2 linked regions of the Lytechinus pictus genome follow. The protein of the gene in region 2 purifies or fractionates together with the protein of the main gene of each other region. This does not show direct contact. Links are inferred from orthologs where the notes say so. Each region holds a gene or a part of one and is shown on either strand. Other genes may lie near its edges. The genes, in order: transducin beta-like protein 2 and eukaryotic translation initiation factor 2-alpha kinase 3-like.

Region 1 (9,928 bases), on a different chromosome or scaffold from region 2:
TGTGGTTGTTGTTTGTATTGACCAGTGGCGGACCGTGACCTGGAGGAGACAAAGCATTGGAGGGGCACAGCATTGTTCACAAACCATACAGTGCCCCTCCAATCATTGTCTCCTCCGGGTCACGGTCCGCCACTGGTATTGACTATCCCCATTTTCAGGTTAGGTGTTGTGGTTGGTTTTTATTTTGACCCATATTCACTGCACTGATTCCCTGAACAGATTATGTGTAATGTTGGGTGTTCCAAACAATGTTACATGTATGTGGCTGTTGAACTGGTGTTGTATTGAATGTCTACTTTACCTTCAGAACACGAAGCAACATATTTGCCATTGATACTGAAATCCAGATCGAGAACATTGTGACTGTGTTCCTTGAGTGAGGAAGCTAGGAGAGGATGAGTAAATGCCTTCTGTGAGGACTTCTTATTGCCATGGTTACCAGATTTTGTTTGCTTCTTGGTCACTTGGTTTGGTTTCTTCTCTTTATGTTTCTTCTCATTAGTCTCTGAAGAGAGAAAAAAAAGCAAGAATGATGATCCAATCGAAAATCAAAATTCGAACTTTCAGAATGTAAAAGTGCAAATCATAAGTTTCTTATCAAAACCTTACTTGTAACTCTTACACCACTATACAGCTGAAATCGGTCTGTTTGGAGGAGTTTTTACACATGAATTTTTAAAAAGAAGTTTTTTTACTTTCTCCTTCACAGATGGCTAGTCATCTTGCAAATTGTGTGAGGGACCTAATCCTGATAGCCTATATTCTTTGGGTCCCCCAACAGGTGGAAAGTAAAATTTCAATAAAATTGTAATTTTTTAAATCTCTTTTTCCAATTCAGAAACAAATAATAAACGAATTAAAAAAGAGTCAAGTCATGATGAATAGTTTATATTTCCCATTTTTAATGAAGTAAAAATACAATATTTTACAATATAATGATTACAAAGCTGATATTCAGTATTGATGCTACTGAAAGGAGACTCGTTTTCCATGGCAGTTTTTTTTTTTTTTTTTTTGGGGGGGGGAGGGGGCCATCCAGGGTTGGCACGTTTTAAACGGTGTGTTTTAAAACATGTTTTAAAACGCGTTTTAAAACACCACATAGGCTTGTGTGTTGTAAATTTGCATGGATGTGATTTTAGATAAATGTTTTTTTTTCATACTTTTATTTCTGAAGTGGTGTACTATTTTCTTCTAACTAATTAAAACTCTTTCTCAACACCACTCTTTTTCTCCTCTTTCTCTTTCCCTCCTTCTCCCCTTCTCCATTGCTTTGTCATGTTCCTTTCTTCCTTTCAATTGTGTACATCAATCTATACACAACAAAAAGTCCCCCCTTAAACAAACATCAATAATTTCCGAACCAATGCGAGTTTTTAATATATTTTTACATGAGCGTGTAGGTAATTTTATAAGCTACCTCTGAGTAAACGTTATGGACCTATTTCACTTCATGCTTCAGTAGGCACCGTCAGAAGGCAAAAATGTCCCTTTTCAAAAGTCACAAGCCAAATATCATGACTTTGATTCCATTTTATTGGAACCAATTCCACATTCTCATCATAAAAAATTGTCAGAAGGCTTGTAAAATGTACTCTCTAAAAGACGATACAACTTTTTTGGCTAAATTTCACGGTTGAATAAACACAAGTCCAAATTTGCTATAATTGGATTTTTTACACATTTATATCAATAAAAATGATAGAATATGATGACAGTTATTTTTGGAAGAGTTTCTTCAACAATATTCATCGTTTCACGGTTCAATGAACATTTATTGAAAACAAAAAATACGATTTTCAAATATCTTAGGCAAGTATTGGTTCATTTTGGGAACTGAAAATGATCTTTTCTCAACTTTTTCGTTATGTTCACGACCAATTAACATGCTTCAATGATTCAAAGGCGTTTAATTAAATATCCACGCTTGAATGAACATGTGGAATGCGATTAGCTCTTTTTTACGTTATTGGAAAAAATGCAATTTGCTACAATGGATATCTGTCACAAACCTCCTTGCATAGTTCATTTGATTTGATTTTTATGAAAATCCCGATGTTTAATGCATCAGTGAGCACACAATATTCGAAAATTATGCAAATGAGAAGAAAGTTCAAGGCCTTGGCCCCACTCTGTGTCGTATCGAATGGTTATTTTGGTGTGCGCGCCTTTTGGATAGTGTTACTCTGAAGCCATGTACGAAGTTTCATGAAATAACTATTGGCAGAAGTAACAAAAACCGTCCATGAAACAAATCCTCATTTCATATTTGTTAAAATTATGACTTCGTTTCTCATAGACCTGTGTACATTATGGGTGCACATGTTTAAGAATAAGTAACCCCTTATTCAATATGGTGGAACTTTTTTTCACGGCTGTCTTTAGCAATGTCATTTGGCAGTAATGTTTATCAACCTAAGGGCAGAATTCTGTGCAAAAATGAAATCGATTTGTCTATTTATGGATGAGTGAGCACGCATCAAAGTGGAAAATTTTGTATTTTCAATGTCACAGACTCATTTTAAAGGGTAATAAAGTGAATATTGGGGGCATATTCGGTTTCAAATAAGACTTTAATTCCTATTGTTTTTATCATCCATCATTTCTATCACCACACACTTTCCGAACTTTAAACATTTTCATGGTTGAGCGAGCACATTCGAAAACTTAGGAATAAATACTCTTTATACTGCATAAATGTATTCTTTTCCTAACAATTTCTCATGATCAGTTTAATTTATGGACAAATCAGTGATGGGTCCAGAATTTTAAAATGGGGGAGGGGCCTATAATCGGGGGAGCCACCAACATTTTCAAATTTTAACATGATCTAACAAGTTGCAGAAGATACAACCATAAACCCCTATGATGATACGTTACAATACAGGGGCCGGGGAAGGGTTTTCAAAGTGGGGGGGGGGGGGCTGACCATGCAAAAAATCACAATCGTATGGTCATTTTTACATTTTTGTACATGCAAGTACAAAAAAGTGGGGGGATGAAGCTCCCCGCCCAGCCCCCCCCCCCCCCGCTTCTGAGGCCCCTGCAATATATTGTGCTCACTCAACCATGAATATATGATATCAAAATTGTGTGTGGAGTGGCTAAATGATGGATAGTAAAACAGCATAACACCATAAAATTCACCTAAAGACAACATTTGCCCAATTTTGTATGTGCACAATCTGAAAAACGACTCTTGTGACTTTCAAAAATGGTCATTTTTAATTCAATCTTTAATTACTCATGCATGACTCAACCGATCAATCTTATTTTTCTCCGGGAGTTGCTTAATGAGTGTAGAAAACCATCTACGGAATATCATATCTCAAAATAATTCCGTTCAAAAGTTACAGCAATTTGATTTAGGGGGGACTTACTTTTTTTGTTGTGTATATATTAAGAATATTTTCATTTCAACAAACATATCTAAGTGATGTGCTCACTTTTTGGACAGGGAAAGTAACACTATTTAAAATAAGCTCAAATACATAGTAGTACTTGAATGAAATGGAAGTGTTGCACAAGCATAATGATATCTCATAATGATATCGCGGACTACGCGTCGCCTTCTTGCACAAAGGCCGTTAACACGCACTGTTTACTGCGTGTTAATGGCCTTTCATGGCGCTTCAACAATCACTGTCAAGATTTAATCCAAGTCAGCTTGTTGTCATCGGGGGCGACTTTAACCTCCCAGGCTGGGACTGGACAAACCAGACAGTGAAGGCGTGCAGCCATCCTGCTCTTCACCATAAGTTTGGGGAAATGTTGGATGATCATGGCCTTACCCAACTTGTAGAAGAACCTACAAGACGGCTCACACTCTGGACTTGTTCCTCACCAACAATCCCACCCTTGCCTTCAATGTATGTGTCCTTCCTAGCATATCGGATCATGACTGTCACGACTCTGCTGACCTTTGACATGAAACCATCAAGAAGGCATCAAATGCCTAGAAAGGTTCCAGTCTACAGCAAAGCAGACTGGGAAGGGTTCAAGGACAGCATGTCAAAAGTAGCTGATGAAATATCATCCAAGCTCAAGGAAGCCTCCACGGCTCCACTAGTGAATTATGGGACATATTTCAAGCAGGAATCAAGAATGGTATCGAGGCACACATTCCTCATACAATGTTGAAGCCCAGAGCCAACCTACCTTGGGTGACTGCAAAAATTAGAAAGCTCATCAAGAAAAGGAGTAGGGTTGTCAAGAAATGTACAAACATCTTGAAATCCAGAGGACTTCTTCCATATAACCAGGGTGCTACATAACTTTTTAGAAGCACTTGCCCGGTCAGGCAAGTAAATTTTTAAATAGTTGGAATATACTTGCCCAAAAATCTACTTCACTTGCCCAAAAAAATCATTGAAAAAAAAAGTTACCTCTTCTAAAGAAAGTTTTGCAGCTTTATAAACCATTTCCTTTTTCCAAAGTGATTTTATCTTGCCTGCCACGACCAATATTAGGGTCAGTATATCATATCGACCCTGATTTTGGTCATTCTACTCTGAGAATTTTGCTTGCCCAATTCGGGCAAGTAGTTTTGTTCTTTACTTCAAAACACTTGCCCGACTGTAACTTTTACTTTCCCCGGGCAATCGGGCAAGTGCTTATGTAGCACCCTGCATATAACCTTGAAGAGTATAGCAACAGTCTTAAGAGGATCATCCAGTGAGAGATCAGGAAAGAATACTGGAAATATCTTGAGTCTATCTTCGATGGATCTGATGATGAAGACAATCAATTCATGGCCATGAAACGATTTTGGAGCTTCATTAAGTTCAACCGAAGTGACAGTTGAGGAATTTCCCAACTCAAGTCAGCCGGAAAGAAGCTTACCGACCCCACTGAAAAGGCCAATGCACTCAACCACCAATTCCAATGAGTATTCACTGAAGAGACTCCAGTACCTCCTGACTTGCTTCCCCCTTCTTCGCCTTATGAAACCATGCCAGATATCATCATCACAACAAAAGGCATCAAGAAACTGCTTGACAATCTGAAGCCAAAGAAAGCACCTGGTCCCGATGGCATCACTCCTCTAGTACTCAAGGAGCTATCAGGTATTATTGCTCCATCCCTGAGGGATATCTTCAGGAAGTCCTATATCACTAGGGAGATAGAGCGGAACCAAGCAACTACAGACCCATCTCACTAACTTGCATCGCATGTAAATTGATGGAGCATATCCTTGCAAGTAATATCATGAAGCATGGAAACCACCAGGATATTCTGTACCCTCTTCAGCATGGCTTTAGACAACACAGGTCATGTGAGCTACAATTGTTAGGACTGGTAGACCTGACCAACAACCTTCAAGATGGAAAGCAGACAGACATCTTAGTTCTGGACTTTAGCAAGGCATTTGACAAGGTGGGTCACCAGCGCCTTCTCCGGAAACTGGAGTTCTATGGAGTTAGAGGACATAATAACTGCTTGATTGCCAACTTTCTTCATATCAGGAAGCAGCAAGAGCTCCTGGATGGTCGTAGTTCATCTCAAATTGATGTAAATTCAGGCGTGCCACAGGGCTCTGTCCTCGGCCCCTGCCTCTTTCTCTACTTTATCAATGACCTGCCTGATCAACTCAAGTCAAGAGTCCGACTGTTTGCTGATGATGCTATCATCTTCTCACAGTTCAGTCAGATACTGATGATGACCAGCTGCAACAAGACCTCAACAAACTAAGTGAGTGGACCAGTAAGTGGATGATGGAATTGAACACCAATAAGTGTGAAGTCATCACAGTTACCAGGAAGCAAAACAGGATTGTACAACAGTACAAATTCAACGATGCTATCCTTACTCTTGTAGAAGCAACAAAATATCTTGACAGTGTCACTATCACTTCATACCTGAAGTGGAACAGTCACATCAGCAATGTTTGTCAAAAGGCTAACAACACCCTTGCCTTCCTACGAAGAAACCTGCGAGTAAACTCTCCCAAGTTGAAAGCTACAGCATACCGCTCACTTGTCAGACCTTTGGTAGAATATGCATCTACTGTCTGGAATCCATCTACCTCCAAGAACATCTACAAGCTTGAAATGATCCAACGCAGAGCAGCTAGATTCACACTGAATTGATATCACAATACATCAAGTGTGTCATCGATGCTGTAGGAGCTAGGATGGACATCCCTTCAACAACGACGAGAAATCTCTCGCCTTGTGATGTTCTACAAGATCCACAAAGAGCTTGTCCCATTCAACTCTGATGCATACATAACCAAATGTACTAGATCAACAAGAGCTGTTCACACTCAAGGATATCTCATGCCACAATCACGGACCCAACAACATCAATGCTCCTTCCCCAGAACCATCAAGATGTGGAACACTCTCCCAGTAAATATTGTGACAGCACCATTTGAAAATTATCCAACTCTGGGTAGTTTTTACCAATACTGTGTAGTTTTCACCCAAAGCACACATTATTGGTTTAAAACTGCCCAGAATTTGATAAAGTTTTAACCAATTGTTGTGTGGACAGTATGTTGCCGAACATTTTTAAGAAGGTAAGAAACACCCATACATTTCATTCGCTACACATTTCGAAATTCATGTGGTACCTCTGCCATTATTACCACTGCCATTTTTACCTCTGCCATTTTTTCCTCTGCCATTTTTTCCTCTGCCATTTTTACCCGGCACAGACAGTATGTAGGCCTACCGCGCGCTATAGCATACAGTAACTATTATCCAGCCGGCCGCGCCGGCCGTCTGGCATAAGCTTTGCATGTATGAAACCACTGCAGCTAGCTGTGCACTTGCAGACTATTCAGACTAAGGGAGCTGCGATACGAAATGTTGCTGCTAAGAGATCTTCCACAGAACTTTGAAAATCTACGTCAAAGTCACATTTTACACCAATGAAATGCCCTTCTACAGTCCATATTACTAAAATCTGGTGTAACCTGAATATTTGCAAGCATTAAAAAGAGGAATTATGACCTCTCTTTTGACTCAAAAAGACAGATTTCCAAATGCATTAATACACATAAAACACATAGGTGAGCGCATCACAGTCCCACGTGTGAATTTGTATGTATGTTGATACTTGGTTTCTTTCAAAGCGGTGTCTTTTCTAGCCAAAAATAAACAGACAGTTTCTTGCTTTCTTGTTTATAAATGACTTCTTAAATCACTCTTGAGGAAGTAAATACTTTGGGAATGCATTAATTGATATGAAATGTGAATTATTCCAGCATTTTGGCAAATATAGAGGACTTTTCTCACACTGTTTTTTTCCAGATATAACCTTTGTCGTTTTTTTTTTCTTTCATTTTTTTTTTAGTGGTTAAACCATTTATACCCCTTCCCATTGAATATGCCTGATTAAAGAATATGTTTCTACTGAAAAATAATAATAATAATTTTCCCAATTTTTTATTAATTTTGTTTTATTCATTTTTCTTTCATTTTCTTTTGTTTTTTTTCTCTAAACTTTTTCTTTTTTCTCTGTTCTTTGTTTTTTTCTTTCTTCATTTTCTTTCTTTTGTTTTATTTCACTTATTTATTTTATTATTATTTTTTTCTTTTTTTAATATACTATTCTAAAAATTATTTTTGTTTCCCCTTATTATGCATTGTTCTAACTTTGCAGCATATTTTTCTGTGATTTTCTCCTGCTATAATATGCTGGCAAAGAGAAAATAAACTGGATTTGGGGCCTGCATAATCTAGGTTTTAGGATTCAAAAAGGAAGAAAGGAAAAATAATTGTTTTGTACTTCTATCTGAGTTTGCAATGCACTATTTATTTACTTTACCATTATGAGTGTGTCTATACAGAGATTTAAAAAAAAGTCCACACAACCTGGGAACAATACAATTTTTTTAATCATTTCATATTTACAATGATAGAACAATTTATATATTAGGCCATGAGAAGTAAGGTATTAGATTTGCGTCCGAAAATTTTTCAAATGACATGAGGCTTTTTTTCATTATTCATTATTCATTATCTAGCGGGCGTGTACATTTTGCTTATTCATGACGTCATCCAGCCACTGCCGAGGGCCAATTTATAAATGAAAATATAGTAAGCATGCATACTGCAAGCCTTCCATAGCCCCACACAGTATTCCACCAAAACAAGTTTGCAATTCTCTATCACCTCGTACCAAAATCGACCTAGAATTTCACCTTCCTATATTTTATATGAATTATGAAAGGTATTCTCGGAGGATCTATTTTCTCACCGATACCGCACAGGTAAGTGAATTTCGATTACTTCTTGCTTTTCGGTCAAAATCTTACGAATTAGCGTCGATATGGCATCGTGTTTGTTGGAGTTTGTAGAGTCTATCGCAACGTATACAAAGTCAATTGATTTCCGGGTTTCGGAGCGTCGCGTGAATATATATATTTTTTTTAACAAACAAGTGCACACCTAGTTACCAATAATGCATATAGCATTTCCATTTATTTGAAAGCAGGATAAAAGAGCATTGTAGATTAAATGCCTTGCTCACGGCCATAGGTGCCGCGGCCGGGGATCGAACCCCGGACTTTCCATGTATAGCCAGGCGCCTTAGACCACTCAGCCACGGCACCTCCACTATATGCATGAAATTGCAGAGTCTCGATAATTTTCGATCGATACTAGAGCGATCCGATCACGAACCAAGACCATTTCCCGCGTAGACAATGTGACCGGATATCAAAGGTGCGCTGCAGTGGTATACTGTATGCACGAAGTAAGTGCATAAATATAACCTTTTACTGCCCAGCGATGATTTGGGACATTTGTAATTTCGTGATGGAGAGTAAGTAATGAATTTTTTTTTGAAATAATGAAATTTTCATGCGGGCGGTGGACGCAAATCTAAAACTTTCATTCTCTTGGCCTTACCACAAATCAATTAGCAAAGTAAAATAACAGCAAACAAGATTTACATACAAGACCATATGTACAAAGTGAAAGTAACAGTGGTAGTGGCTGCAGAATTAATATTTCAGAAGTTTGTTTTATTCATGTTTTTTAAAATATTTATCGGGCTACCAAACTTTAATATCGGGCCACCCAAAAAAATTATTTGAAGGTTTAGGTGGCCCAAACGGGCCAACACCAAAAAAAGTTAATGTGGAGCCTTGGCCTTGGTTTATTACTTTATAATATACAATATTTTTGTATTCAGTAGAGGCGCACGGCCAATATTGGAGACTGTCTCCAATGTGGGAGATTATCTCCAATATCAGAGACTTTTGTAAAGAATTTGGGTATCAAATTTCAGAGACAGTCTCCAGTTTTGGAGACCAATTTCCTTTATTTACATTTGCTGCAAAAGGATTACCTTGGCGGCAAATAAAAATGTGATAAGCAGATTCCTCATGAAAAATTACCCCTTCTCACCGTCTACTTTAAAATTTCACCGTCTACTTTTGTTTTGATAAGGATTTTTGTTGTCAATCACACACAAAACAAATGGGCTTCTGACCTGTGAGACAAAATTTTGAGTGGAAAAAAATTATGCTTTTGTTGGTGTTGTTTCTTTTGTCCTTTTGCAAAGCAAGTCTCCAATGTGGGAGATTGTCTCCCCTATTGGCCATGCGCCTAGTACTAGTAGGCACTTCAGGTGAAAATTAGGAAAGGCTGTTCCAGCATATTTGATAGGCTCACAATGAGGCTCAATATCTACGATAAACAAAACTGTTTGAATTTACAAAGTCCGATATCTAGAAGTCAAGTTATTGTCATCTTTGTGATGAAAAAACAGTGCTTTTTGTGGACAAAAGAAGATTACGAAATCTTATTATTCTCTTTGTTTTGGGCATGGCACATTTATAATACATAGCTTATGGGGAATTGTACAAGCTTTTTATTTAAATCTTAAAGTACTCATATTGATTTGACATATTGGCATATGATTTCTTTGGTTCAAGGGCAACTTCCCCTGGACGATAACCCCCCACCCCCACCCC
Region 2 (8,940 bases):
CAGGTCATTATGCCCACATCAACTTAAATGTCAGCTCGCGCTTCGCGCTTACATAATTGGACAATATAGTATTCATACTTAAGATCAAAGTGATTAAAATGTTCCCTTCTATGTCAATATCCCAAAAGGTTTCAGCTCCTACTCTGCGCAAGTATAGATTGTTTGTTTATATAGGCATGTTTCCTGTTGACGATTATAAAATGTAATAAATGAATAAATAAATAAATAAATAAATGGATGAATGAATGAGTGAATAAATAAATAAATAAATAAAGGTGCTTAAATTGTCCAGTTTCATGCAGGTCAGTTTGCCTATATAATAAACAAAACTCATTTCGCGTTTTGCGCACGTATTTTAATTTTAGTAATATACTTATCCTTTCCATGGTGCTTGGAATGTTCTGTTTTCAGGTCGGTATATCAACAAAATTTAGAATGCTCTTCGTGCTCACATTATTTGTTTAGTGATCATCTTCATGGATTCAAACGGTGCTTGAAATGATGTCCCATTTTCTCTGGTTCCCGAGAATATCCAATGATTTTAATGTAAGGGGAAAGTGGAGGGCAACTGAAAGTGGTGGCGGCATGCAGATTTTTTAAATGAATTTTTAGATTTAGATTTATTTATTTCCGTTCAAAAATGATATAATCGAAGCAACAGTGTAAATACATGTTCAAATTAACACATACTCAAAATAATACATACAGTTCAATGACATTTCATAACAAAATTTTCACAAGCTTTTTTTACAAGCTCTGTTTTTCTTGGCAAGTCAGTTAATTTATCTTCAATATTTAATATTGAAGATAAATTAACTGAACTGACCTGCTAAGAAAAGCAGAGCTTGTAAAAAAAGGCAAGTCCCTAAACTTAGTTCCAATACTAATTAACATAACCTATATACATGAGACGGACGGAAAACGAACTTAAAATACGTAATCTACAAAATACCAAAATAGAGCGAATAAGCGACAACAAAAATGGAAAGTAATTAAGATAATAATTGTAATGATAACGATAATAACGATAGAATTTTAAGTAGACGGAAATCATAAAAGTGGAAAAAGGGAGGCAAATGAAAGAGAGAGAGAGGGAGAAAAAGTGGTGCAATTAAAACTGAAAATGAAAAGAGGAAATGGCAGGTACACAGGTCATAAGGCACTGTCGTGACATTATTTAGAATATATATATAATTAGACAAATTTATTGATAGTAAAAGATTAGATTTAGATACTTTTAGTTGCAGTTATATTAGCTTAACTTATTGGTGTGGAGTATTGACAAATTAGCATGCAGAGGCTGAACCCCCCCCCAAAAAAAAAAAAAAAAAAAAAAAAAAAACAGAGAGCATATACTGAGACGGCACGGATCGTGTGGTTAGAGCATTGGACTCTTAATCGCAAGGTTGTGAGTTCGAATCCCCACTCTGCCATTGTCTCCACTTTCAATTCAAATGTCCCCTGAGCATGGGCGGAAATCCAATGCAGGGGGGACAGGGGGACGCGTCCTCCTCCCCCATTTTTGGAAAGGGGGTAACGCAATATCAAATGCCCCCCCCCCACACTATATTTGTGGTATTTTTTAATGGAAAAAATACATCATTAAAAAAAATCAAAATAACGAAGTCAAAGTGCTTAAATTTTCCCAAATTTGCATTCTAAAATCCCAAGTTTCTCGCGCGGTCGCTCCGCTCCCACGCTCCTTTTAATCTTAAAAGAGTTTGGCCATGACAATTCCCTACGATTAGCGTACGTATTCCAAAGATTATATATCGCCTGCATCATAAGAGCATGGCAGCATGGTTATAATACTTATATTAGTTACCAATTAATTTTAAATGTGGTTATAAATTTAATCATAAACCAATAAAACAATCATCGAATAAACTGGCGTGATTGTGTGGGGGCTCATTTACAATCTTTGTGGAAGTGGGGGATAATAAATTTTGTACAAAAAATATAGCCATACCCTAGTAGTGTACGATGAGTTACTGATGGCATTGACTAAATCAATGGCGTTAATGAAACACAGAGGCAATTATACACTGTTAAAATATTAGTAATTTTACAAAGAAAAATCGTAAATTTACAGGATGCTTACCTTTTAAAAACAGACGACACAATGATTTAACAAACCAAATGTATTTATGCAGTGATCTGTAACGTAGAATTTCAAGTTAAATGTAAAACAAAGTGAAATATAGTAATTTTTTGTAAAAATACCAACGAACTATCGTGTTTTTACGTTGATTGCATGCAGTCCATCGTATAAATAGTGTTCGTATTTGTAAATAACGGGGATTTTCATGTTAAATGAATATTAAAATGGTGTTTTTATTTATTTATTTTATTTTTTACAGTAATCCAGCTTTTTGCATTTTTACAGCCCATCGTAATTTAACAGTTCATACTGTTTGTGAGTCCCATGCAGCTGCCAGTAATAATTACTGTTTTTTGTTAATACTTTTATTTTTAACAGTGTATATAAGAGCAGCAATATTTCCAACACACTTTACAATTTCATCCGTTTATTATGCCTGTAGGAAACTTTAAATCACATTTATTCCATAACAGTCTAATAAATATGTCATATGAATTTGTCTTGAATTTTGAATGTTACTTCATCTCCCAATATTGAAGATTATTTTAAATCTTTCCTTTCTGCAATATCTTTATTTCAATTAGCATCACCGTACCATTTCCACGGGGTTTGTGTTGTAGCCTGTGATGGCCTATAATCATATCACAAAGCATTTCTAATTCCCAGGCCTTAATCTCGGTAATCATGACCCCATTTTTAAATCATTCTCATCTCACCTTTAACCAATGAGCAAACGAGTTTTCATTTAACAATATCTGGACAGTTTAGCCCTCATTTGCTCTTTATATTTCTTCTGTTCTTATATTCTTTTTTTCTCCTCGAAAGTTTACGTTATTGATAATATAGCGCTATCATCCCCTGTAATATAATTTCTGCATATCATTTTAAACGAATGAAGAATTTCAAACGACTGAAACTGTTTCAAGGCTCGCTCACTACGATCACTCGCAGCATTTCTTAATAATTACACGCAATTAAAAGACAATTTTGGTCATCATTCTGTCTTCCAACTATTAAAATTTTTGCTTGCTCGCTCGCACAGTGATGTTTACTCTAAGTCATGAACACTAGTGTACCTACGGGGGGGGGGCAGACTGCCCCCTGACGAGTCACAACCCATGCAAGGGACATATCCCTGCCCCCCTGACGAGTCCTGAAGAGTCAATTTTTTTTATTTTTTTTTTGCTTGTCAAATTTTTTTCTGATACGAAATCCTTTATTTGTGGTTGAAAACCTTTTTTTTTTTGCTTGTCAAATTTTTTGGCGGACGAATTTGCCCCCCCCCCCCCTGTGGAAAATCCTAGGTACGCCACTGGTCATGAATATACATTACAATATATAGCCATCGAAAAAAATCGCAAAAGGAAAGATGGTAGTATTATGTCCACATTTACAGTATATACTTAGTACGTACATTGCCCGTGATGCACTCATACCACTTATTTATTTATTTATTTTTGTTTTCTTTAGACAGTCTCTTCAGTACATAAAAACTGCTTTTCGAGAGAGCCATGTACATATAAAAATACAAATAACAATCATAATACAATGGCGAACAATTACAGAATTAATTAATTAATGAACTTGAAAGAGGTTTTAGGACACCATTCTGTCTTTAAAGTTTTAACAACTGAAAATTTTCTCGCTCGCTTTGCTCGCTAGCATATTGATATTGACTGTAATTCATTACTTTAATCACAACAAATCCATTACAATAGAGCCATTGAAATGGTAATAGGCATTTAACTGAAAGATGGTAGTACTGTGTACACGGTCATATACCCCCGTACAGCCCTCGGTGTGCTTATGCATGGGGGTGTCCCCAACATTTTGAATTTTCAGGTCAATATGTTGCTATCACCTCCCCCCTCACTGCTTGGACCAGATTTACGTCAGTAAAATGTATAGTATAACAATGGAAATTCAATTGTTTCCCCTAGCTCCCCCACCTTTGAGGAGCGATTTCCGCCCATGCCCTTGAGTTCCAGCCCCGATAGCTATATAATATAGTACTAGTGGCAATTCGTGAATTGCAATTTACAAGACTGAACTAGTGAAATACTTCAAGTGAAAATACAAAATGATCGACGCTACAGAACTCTTTCCCTGTCTTATTATTTGTATCATTTCATGTCATCATGTAAGAAAAGGAAAAAACATAAGACTAAACATTCATCCGAAATAACAAGTATTGTGGAATATGGACAATTTCGCGGAAGTAGTGCCCCCCCCCCCCCGCGCCCCCGATGCATGCACGGGGAAATATTGCATTTTAATTCGCCCCATGCAGATGGGTGCAGATCAACAATTTAAGAAAGGGGGTCAGTACAATAAAAAAATCAAAACAAAGGGGGGGGGGCGGGGGCCTATACACTACACACATGTTTAATACCCTCTCCTTATTTTCTCTCATCCACCCGCCACGAACCTCACTTCAACTTAATTTTATCCCATATGGTATTGGCAAGTAAGATATAATGTACCCAGCAGCCATAATAGTTATCACTCCAATAACACCCCCCTTGGACGCAGAGGGCAAGTACGTATTTTGTTCACACCCCCCCCCCCCCCCCCCCCCCACTCCCACACCCTCTCTCTTCCTCTCGATCAGCCGCGCTTGAAGGTTTATGCATGTTCGGATATCGGATCGGATCGATGGTGCGATGTGATCGCAGTATTTGACCGGTCACGGATCAATAGTCACGTGATCAACAAAAACGTAAATACACGTCAGGCTAATCAACGCGGAAAGTTCCACATCATTCAACTTTTCAGATTGATAGGTATTGTAGGAGTGGTGATTCATTGTTCTCGACTCTCATTTTGACCATTCCCGATTGAAGCAGCAAATGTTTGATGGATGCAGCTAACAATAGAGCAAATCTAACGAGGATTTGCTCACTTTTGGCTTGCATCATTATCTTCACGAACATTTCGCAAGCCGAATCGGCCGAGGGGAACCCCGGGACTTCAGGCGAGAATAATAACAGTGAGCGTTTGAGCGGCAGTTCCAGGCTTCAGAATGCTGTTCATCGTCCGTCACCAGAGAGTTGTTCAGCCTCACACTCACAGGGTGTTAATAGGTGATTACTGAACTTTAAATGGGTACTCAATTTGAATGAAAAGTAGTTGGTTTGACTTTGAATGAAAAAGAGTTTTAAGTAGACTAGAGAATTTAACTCACTGACCAAACTTACGTAGTTAGGCAATATTCCAAAAACAAAAAACAGTGACAATTTCAAAATTTTCAATCCAGATTCCAGTGTTGGAAGTTGAAATTGTCTGGACTCTCGTTTTCATTCATTGTCTCATTTCCAAGACGGGCAAGCCATTGGCAAAAGAAGTGAACAAGAATATTGTTTCTGAATATGGCCACTTTTATTTCTGAAAAATATGGAAAGAAATTTTTATAAAATTTTTAATAATATGTGTACTGTAGCTGTTCTGGAGCCCGTTGCAGAAAGAGTTGCGTTTAAACGCAAGCCAAAAAATCAATCGCATGTAACAAATGCGCGCTGTTGATTGGTTGAAAATCAAGTTGCGCATGATTTTTAGAGTTGCAATTGATTGCAACTCTTTCTGCAACGGGCCCCAGGCCTGATCGAAAAGGGACCTGTTGAAGACTTTTTGCAGTTAGCCATTAAGACGATACACTTTTCATCAATTAAATAATGCAAGCGCGAGCTGAAAATTTTTGATATTCCGGCCGAAAAAATTGACATTCTAACTCTAAGCACTTTTTGTAATCATGAACAGGATCTATGGTATATAATAAGTAGAACTAAACAATGAAGTGCGAGCGGAAAAAAAATTGAGATTTCAGACCTAAAATCTGGACACTATTCATGTTTTTGTAAATTATGGAAAAAGATGGGTTATTTGTTATCTTCTTACACTAATAATGCGAGCGCGAAGCGCGAGCAGAAATTTTTTGATATTCTCATCTGAAACTGGATAATTTAGGCATTTTTTATTAAAGAACAAGCTGCATATGAGTATATCTCAATAAACATGCATGCACATGTTTTAGAGTTAGACAGAATCTTGGCATTCTGAATACTTTTTTTTTGTTATGAAAATCAATAATGCGAGCGCGAAGCCCGAGCTGAAAATATTATATTCTGATCAAAGGGTCAATTTACATGTAAGCACTATTTCAAGCACTGTGTAGGAAAATTGCAAAGTGGATGTGAACGCACTTAATAAATGATGCGAGCGAGAAGCGCAAGCTGATATTTTTTATTATTTTGACCTAGGACCTGGATATTCTAAGGATATTTTGTCATATGAAAATGATGACTATATGCATTGACACTATCAATGGCTACAATGCCTTGTTCGGTATTCCTATTCCTTCTTCTTCTTCTACTGTCTGCTTCTTTTTCCACAAAATCCCATTCGTTTAACATGTGGTTCTTGTGAGCCCTGCCTAGGCTCCATCCCTTATCTTAATTCTCCCAAATTTGGTACACATGTTGTCCATGACCCATTGTTGTGCACCTCGTATTTCATTTTCCCAAATCACTCATGCATGACCGTGCAGGCGCCATTTTGTCAATTTCAAGTCCATTTGCCTACCATTCTTCATTCTTTCATATCTCCGTTATCCTGCATGCTACAGACTTCTAACAAATTGCTATAGATAGGTAAAGAGTTGCTCTATCATTTGCGACCATAACCTGCCCTTCAAAATGACATCGTCATTCAAATCAAATTTGATCATAACTTTGCTTTCTGTGCCAGGCCTCTGATGATCCTGAGCACGGTGGATGGGAAGGTACTTGCCTTGGACATCCAGAATGCTGGCCAACAGCAGTGGAGTATGGATGCTGGCATTGGACCTCTACTCTCATCATCCATCAGTCAATTTGAGGTAAAGAAAATTATCCCTTTTTTTTTACCAATGAAAACATTTTTCTAACCGAAAATGAATTAATTGTACTCTTGCAATCAATAAGGTGGTTTTTCAGTGTGAAAGTGTTGCTTTGAGAGGGGTTAGCTGCGTACATTTATTTCAGCATTACATTTTTAAAAAGTTTTTTTGGTCGATGAAAGAATATCAGTGTTTTGATACAATAAAAAGGAGCTTTACATTATTTTTGCAGTACACATAACCTGAAGTATAATACTTGATTTGAGTAGGGTAATGAAACTTACAGTGATAAAGTACCTTGTAAAACGTGTGTGAAATTGACAAGTTGAAAACCTCTTTTGATAGGTATGATTTCCAAAAAAAAAATCAGTCATTAAGGCTGCAGAGAAAGAGTTGCAGCATTGTTGAAGAAATTCTGGTGAAGACTGAAGGGGATGATTGAATTAGAAATAGAACACCACCAATCTCTTCATTTTATTTCCATTTGAATGATTAATTCCCATCAACTGTCAGTAACAAATATACTGTATAAAACAGTAAAATTATGATTGAAAGATAGAGGAGATCGCAAGAAAAGCATAAGAGCTTTATAATTATGCTCCCTGATATTCTTTCAGATCATGGGCCCTGAAGGAGTATACAAGGTGATACCATCGTTGAACGGGGGTCTGTTCAAATGGGATGGGGAGACTCTTGAAGCAGTTCCGTTCACAGCAGAATCCCTTCTCAGTACCTCATTCAGGCTCAACGAAGAGACGATGATGGTCGGTGGCAAGGAGATCCATACGTTTGGCATCAATGCTAGAACTGGAGAGGTATGTTGGGTTGATAAAAAAAAACTTTTCAAATCTTCTTTGTGGTGATACAAGATTTTATTATTTTTTAAATATTTCTCTTGTTCATCTTTTTTTTATTAAGTAAGGGCCATTAAATCTTTCCTCTTTTTTTTACATAATTTATGTTTTTCATGAAATTAGATCAGAAACAATTACAAGTAATCAAGTTGGATTTTGAAAATAAAAGTAAATATTATCAAAAGATCAACTTTGCAATAGAACACATAACTTCAAAGATCAAATCAAGGATGGTACCTGGCATTACATCATCATATTTGAATATGTTTAAAAAGTGAATTATTATTGGAAGTATCTGCAGTATTTTGGGGGATTATTATAGAATATAGCTCAAAATATGAAATTTTTCATTAATTTTTTTAATCATATGATATTTGTTAATTTTGTTTAGATGATACATTTTTTGAAAAGTTTATTTAGAAGGTAATAAAGACAAAAGAGAAATGCTAGTCCATTATGATTAAAATTTCATTGAATTTAAACTTTTCTCTATCCTTTACCTCACAGGTGCACTATATTTGTGGTACTGGTGGATGTCAACTGTATGGAGACGAAGCTGCTGATGACCAAGACATCATTGTCATTCAGCAGACCAGGCAAACAGTGAGGGCAGTAGACCAAAGAAATGGCTTAGAAAAGTATGTTCACAGATTCAATTGAATGAACATAAATTTGTCAAAAAATGGTGTTGGTTTGCAAAGTGAGGTTGCATGTAACTTGCTGATTGATAAAAGAAATTACATGAATGAAACAATTTATTTGATTATTTACTGTATTCCTCACAATATCAGATCTTTTTTCATGAAAAGCTTAAAAAATGATGAAAATAATGACAATGATTGATGAAGATCATAATAAACATTAAACATCATTCACAAATCATTAATACCAAGAAAGTATTTACCAGTATGCACTTTTACAAAGATGTAAATTAGTGAAGTAAATATAGATATCTTATATACAAAAAAGTACAATTTTTATGGAACAAATTTCATCAATGTATTGAGTTTTCTGCCCAATATTGAACTGTTTTAGATTCATAGTGCAGATTTAATTAGCATAAGTGTTGTGATTTGTCTCACCATATCTGAACACTACGAAATGTTGCTTAG

Evidence for each region.
Region 1: the proteins of eukaryotic translation initiation factor 2-alpha kinase 3-like (region 2) and transducin beta-like protein 2 purify together in Homo sapiens (affinity purification with western blotting; 3 studies listed by BioGRID). This does not show direct contact. The link is inferred for Lytechinus pictus from reciprocal best matches to the Homo sapiens genes EIF2AK3 and TBL2.

The regions. Positions count from the first base shown.
Region 1 is NC_087246.1:5,231,505-5,241,432, forward strand, and holds the start of transducin beta-like protein 2, read right to left. Parts: upstream 3,900-9,928; coding exon 3,797-3,899; intron 506-3,796; coding exon 302-505; intron 1-301.
Region 2 is NC_087256.1:21,450,509-21,459,448, reverse strand, and holds the start of eukaryotic translation initiation factor 2-alpha kinase 3-like, read left to right. Parts: upstream 1-4,796; 5' UTR 4,797-4,957; coding exon 4,958-5,184; intron 5,185-6,844; coding exon 6,845-6,974; intron 6,975-7,591; coding exon 7,592-7,789; intron 7,790-8,335; coding exon 8,336-8,466; intron 8,467-8,940. UniProt on the Homo sapiens protein: Metabolic-stress sensing protein kinase that phosphorylates the alpha subunit of eukaryotic translation initiation factor 2 (EIF2S1/eIF-2-alpha) in response to various stress, such as unfolded protein response (UPR).